Linked DNA regions of Tribolium castaneum. The protein of the gene in region 2 interacts with the protein of the main gene of each other region in a biochemical or structural test. Links are inferred from orthologs where the notes say so. Each region holds a gene or a part of one and is shown on either strand. Other genes may lie near its edges.

Region 1 (2,525 bases), on a different chromosome or scaffold from region 2:
TGGGGCGGAGTGCAAATTGGTTTAAGTTTGTAATTTTATTAACTATTGTTTACGTCAAAATTTTTGCATTATTTTCATTTCTTACTAATGATAATTTAATGCTCTATCTGTCTGTATTTTTTTAGTTTGCCTTGTGCTAATCGTTATATAAATACCATTTTTGTTTGTGGAACAACTGCTCCCTCTGGCGATATTGATGGAACTATCGAGTTCGCGAACGTTTTATTTGTACGTTGTTTCGTATCCTAACCTTTATATGTCTGTAGTTATGGCGCCATATGTATTGTTACCATAGTTACCAAATTAACATAACCATGGTAACTGTAACGTGGCTCCCTCTCGGACGAAATTAAAGCAGTGGTTTCACCATCTATTGTTTGTAGCTGGACGATATTGCGACAGTTTTGCACGATTTGTCGTACAGTAAAAAATCATGGGCCGATATTGAGGGCAAATACCCGAAGTTCGAGCAACAGGAAAGCAAAGGAGTTTGAGGGAATTGTCCAGTTTTAATTTATTATAATTATAAGCTTGAATGAAATTAAACACCTTGGTACCTACAAATGTTTTTTATTCACTTAATACTTGATAATACACATGATGAACGGTTGGAAGGAAAACTTTAGCACATTTAAACACTGAACAAAGAAATAAAATCCGAAGATACCACTAAACATTTTATTGTTAACTTAACAAATGAAAAGATACAAAAGGAAAGAAGTAATTCGAGTGCTTATTCAAGATCGGGAATAGGTTCATCGTCTGAATCAGCACCATCACCATCTTCTAAATCATCAAAGGAGGGCTTGTCCCCGCCGGCCCCCAGGCCTCCCATCTGCCGCATCATCTCCTCGAAGTCGCCGCCGCCCATTCCGCCCATGCCCCCCACGCCCTCGTCACCCGAATCGTCCTCGTCCTGCCACTTGTTGAAGTCACATTTTAGCCAATGGTGCTTCTTTTTATCAGAAGTCAGCGCAGGCCAATAGGAATCGTCTGAACTTGCCTTAACTAAGATTATTTCAATACACCGGCCCCTATTGAAGCTTTTGCTCTTTTCCGGGTCTATTTCTTTATACAGGGGGATTGTGACTTCGTAAGTTTTCTTCTCAACGCCGCCAATGCCTTTGAAATATACAGAGTCTTTCGTGAATCTGCAACAGAACCCGTCACCACTCGTTCCTCACAGCGCAACCACTCGTACTTAACATCGGGGTCTTTACAGTCCTCTAAATTTATCGTTAAAAAAACTACGCCAGTTCTTTGGGCCCACATCACTGGGGGAGGTAACCTAAAAGTGAGGTTAGAGACGCCATTTTAGCACACCAACCGTTACGTCGCCAATCACAAAAACGTGCTTTTATGTAAATATTCAACCGCGTTTAAAGCATTCATCGTAAATCGCAATCATAATTACGATTATTTTCGAATGTTCCAGAATCGATTATACACAATGCCACAACATGGCCGTTGTTGGGAAAAAATTCGAGACAAATAACCGAAATTTGAGTCAATCACGGTCCAATTTCAACGCTTTTTAGTACAAGAAAGCAAAACTTACGTTTGTTGAGTCATTTCGGGCTGTATTAATTTAAATTAAATAAAATAATACGTCCAAACACTCCAGTCCAGACCGGGAAACTGCGTGAAGTTGTAACGGTTGCGTCAGGCTGACACGCCAAAGTCACTAGATTCGCCCGACCGGCCTGGAGCGCGCCAATTTCGAACAATCCCATTTTTGCAAAATTGCGCCCAAACCGAATTGTTTAAAGACACGGGGGCAAAGGCCCCCCCTTTTGGTTTTTAGCGACAAAAAGGCGCTTCTCCCAACAACGTGAAACGATGTCGAGTACCACGTGGTCGTTTCCTACCAATTAGAAAGTCCGCATTTCGCGGCAGGTAGTTACAAATCGTCGAAAGAGCGACACTGCCAGTGCTTTTTCACGTTTGTTGTTAGATTGTTGATTAACAATGCGCGTCATAACGTAAATTTTCAACATAGGTTAACTGGAGAGGCAAGGGTCACTAACGGCCGCTTCTTATTAAAGTAAATTGGGCGTAATTTGAGAAATCGACCATATAAGCTCGATTATTCTGCTCTGATTAATTTTGTGCGGTCGTATGGACTTTGCTAATATTTTGTTTTGGTGCGAATCCAACCAACAGGTTGGCCTTGTCTGAGAATTTGATTTTTTCAAAGTGAGAAAGTTTGTGCAAATTTGTGGATTAAAATGCTTTATCTATGGTGAAGCAATTAAGAAACGGAATGTCGGTTTTTAAGGACAACAATTGGGTGAGTCTCAAATTTGATTTTTTTTCAAGTTCCGTTTAGTTGTGTATTTCATTTTCTGAGCGTACTTTACGATAGCTAGGTAATAAAATGCACTGGACTGTTTTAAAATAGTGCGTGTCGGATTTGTAGATTTTATGGTCACAAAGCTTGTCCTTAAAATAGAGAAATTTCCCTTGTGCAAACTGATAATATTATTATTTACTCAATTACTAATTTTACTAAAAAATTTTGAACG
Region 2 (2,883 bases):
ATGTATTTTTTTTGTTGGTAACATCTTTAACATCTTAAGCGTTCGTTTTAATATCTGAATCTTTGAAATAAACACTACTTTAAAACACGTTTCCGATAGCAACGTGTTTTAAATTAAAATGTTCCAATAAAATTTTTTTTTAATAACACTTCTCGAATATCTTGGTATGCAACTCGCATACGCTCGTTGCATAACGACAGCCCTTGAACTTTAGCTTGTGTTTTCACACTCGTATTATTAAAAATCATAACTATATTAATGTTTTTACTTATAACATAACACATATTCTTATAATTTTAATTAATTAGTTTTAAATTAATGTTTTCATTATTTTAAAACACGCTTCCCATATAAATTAAAATGTTCCAACAAAAAAAAATTTTTTAGTAACACTTCGCATACCTTCGTTGCATAACGACAGCCCTCGAACTTTAAGCTTGTGTTTTCGCACTCGTATTATTAATAAATGTATTAATGTTTTTACTTATATTATAACACAGATTCTTATAATTAAATTTTTATATTATAATTTATTTTAGCTGCCAAATATGATCACACCGATTCCGATTGCTTGTGCATTTCCGTTCTCACTCATGGCGACACCGGAATTCTGTACGCCAGAGACACACAATACAAACCTGATTTGCTCTGGAGTTATTTTGCAGCCGATCGGTGCCCCTCTCTAGCCGGTAACATATTTAATTTTTCTACAGTTTTTTTGTCATTGTCATTGAATCAACAATTTTAGGAAAACCAAAAATTTTCTTCCTGCAAGCTTGTCAAGGCGATAAATTGGACGGTGGTGTTATTTTATCAAGAACTGAAACTGATGGTCACCTGGAAATCGATTCGTATCGCATTCCAGCACAGGCTGATTTCCTCGTGGTTTATTCAACTGTAAAAGGTTATTATTGTTTAACTTTTATTATTTTTTTGTTGGTAACATTTAAGCCTTCTTTTCAATACCTGAATCCTAGATTATAAACACTATTTTAAAACACGCTTTCCATGGCAACGTATTTTAAATTAAAATGTGCCAACAAAAAAAATTAATAACACTTATACACTCGCATACGCTCGTTGCATAACGACTGCCTTCGAACTTTATGCTTGTGTTTTCGCTCTCGTATTATTAATAATTATTATTTTATTTTAGGTTATTATTCGTGGCGCAACACCACTCGAGGCTCGTGGTTTATCCAAGCCTTGTGTGAAGAGCTGCGAAATAAAGGCTTTGATTACGATTTAGGCACAATCCTAACATTTGTTTCCCAACGTGTGGCTTTCGATTTTGAGAGTAATTGTCCCGATTCGCCAACAATGCACCAACAAAAACAGATTCCTTGCGTGATGAGTATGCTCACAAGGTTGATACAGTTCACAAGGGTGAAAGAAGGGTAGGGTTCTGTATTACCGACTTTACCATAGCATGTATTTCTATCAAGTAGCTGTATTAAGTTCAATGTTGAGCTACTTGCTCATTCCATTTATATTCCGATCTCTCTTAGTTTTGTTTTTTGCTCAATGCGCGTCTAAATAGTCTAAACGATGTGTTCTTGAAGACTGCCAAACATGACCTTAAACGTAATTTTTAGATTGGAAGAAAATGAAACGCTCCAAAAACAAGAAAAACGTAAAAATACTATTAAGGGATTATTTACAAAGGGTAAATAAATGCGTAATTACTTAATTCGATTAATTTTAGCATATTTGTGCACAGGTGTCTTTCAAATTTTTAGCTTTCTAAATTTTATTACTAAAAGTAGGTCTAAGAAATAGTGATGTTTGTTTTGTAGGAAATTTTCACTTTTTAGTAAATTATTTTGGCTGTTGTATCATTCCAAATGCACAAGTATGTGCAGTGCAATCGTTTAATTATTTTTAAGTAAATGTTATGCGTAGTAAGTGCCAATTTATGTGTTGTGGCTGTAAAAATTAGATTGGCCACACTGTATCATTCAGTCAGTGTTGCCAACAGGATTTTAAGGTTACAGGCCACTTGATAGTTTAGTTGTATATACTTTCAATCAGTTGTAAGCCAAGCACCAATGACAACGTGTTAGCGTATGTAATTAAGGCACATGAGAAATATCACACTGTATTAAATCGTTAGTTTAATTTTTGCATATTTAATATACGTGCCATTGTCTTTCAAAAAAGTGTCTTATGGAAGTCAAGTGTGTTAACGATTGGAATGGATAAACTACAGCTGTGTAAACATTGCCATTTTAAAAATATTGTATTACTACATAATTAGTTGGTGTATTTTTACATGTAAATGTTTTTATATTGTATACACCTTTATGTTTTACAAAAGAATAAAAGATGTACATTGTGCTCGCACTATTTCGATTTATTTCTCTCCAGTTATGCGATAATTGCTTAAAAATTCTTATCAGAGAAAGGCTCAAGGTGAGGCGGTACTTGTTTAAATCGTAGCTCCAACGAACAGTAGTTTTACTTGTCGGTGTTTTTAACCTACTCGATACTTTCGTAGAGGGCGCTCTTTTCGTGCAGTAATTTTTGTCATCAAAATGGTATGGAAATAAATCTGGAAAAAGTTTGGTCATCTTTCCACTATTTCAATGAAATTAAGTGCAGTTTTGTGAAAAATGTGGCCAGGATTAATGTTGTGTGAAAATTATGGGGCTACTTTCGGCTTTGACAGGTTTTTTTCACCTAACCTATACTGGTGTTCGGCATGGTTAATTGTTTACCATAATTTGGGTAATTTATCGTATTTCTGTGATAAACTTGAATTTTGGGGTATGGTGGAAAGGTGGCCAAAGTGTTCCAGTGTTTGTTGTAACCTCTCGCACAAAATTACCAAATTCTTGTTTTCAGACTGAAGGTACAGCCACAATTCGCACTCGCAAATTTATG

Evidence for each region.
Region 1: of the proteins of caspase-1 (region 2) and p23, one has a biochemical effect on the other in vitro, tested with the Homo sapiens proteins (2 studies listed by BioGRID and IntAct). The link is inferred for Tribolium castaneum from reciprocal best matches to the Homo sapiens genes CASP7 and PTGES3.

The regions. Positions count from the first base shown.
Region 1 is NC_087398.1:11,190,582-11,193,106, forward strand, and holds the end of p23 (prostaglandin E synthase 3), read right to left. Parts: intron 1,717-2,525; exon of another isoform or gene 1,573-1,716; coding exon of another isoform or gene 1,559-1,572; intron 1,289-1,558; coding exon 1,202-1,288; intron 1,152-1,201; coding exon 734-1,151; 3' UTR 665-733; downstream 1-664. Other genes in the region: GlyRS (glycine--tRNA ligase), read left to right, coding at 384-494. UniProt on the Homo sapiens protein: Cytosolic prostaglandin synthase that catalyzes the oxidoreduction of prostaglandin endoperoxide H2 (PGH2) to prostaglandin E2 (PGE2).
Region 2 is NC_087394.1:11,887,289-11,890,171, reverse strand, and holds the end of caspase-1, read left to right. Parts: intron 1-539; coding exon 540-689; intron 690-748; coding exon 749-904; intron 905-1,156; coding exon 1,157-1,397; intron 1,398-1,595; coding exon 1,596-1,674; 3' UTR 1,675-2,343; downstream 2,344-2,883. Other genes in the region: RpS24 (small ribosomal subunit protein eS24), read left to right, coding at 2,535-2,537, 2,845-2,883. UniProt on the Homo sapiens protein: Thiol protease involved in different programmed cell death processes, such as apoptosis, pyroptosis or granzyme-mediated programmed cell death, by proteolytically cleaving target proteins.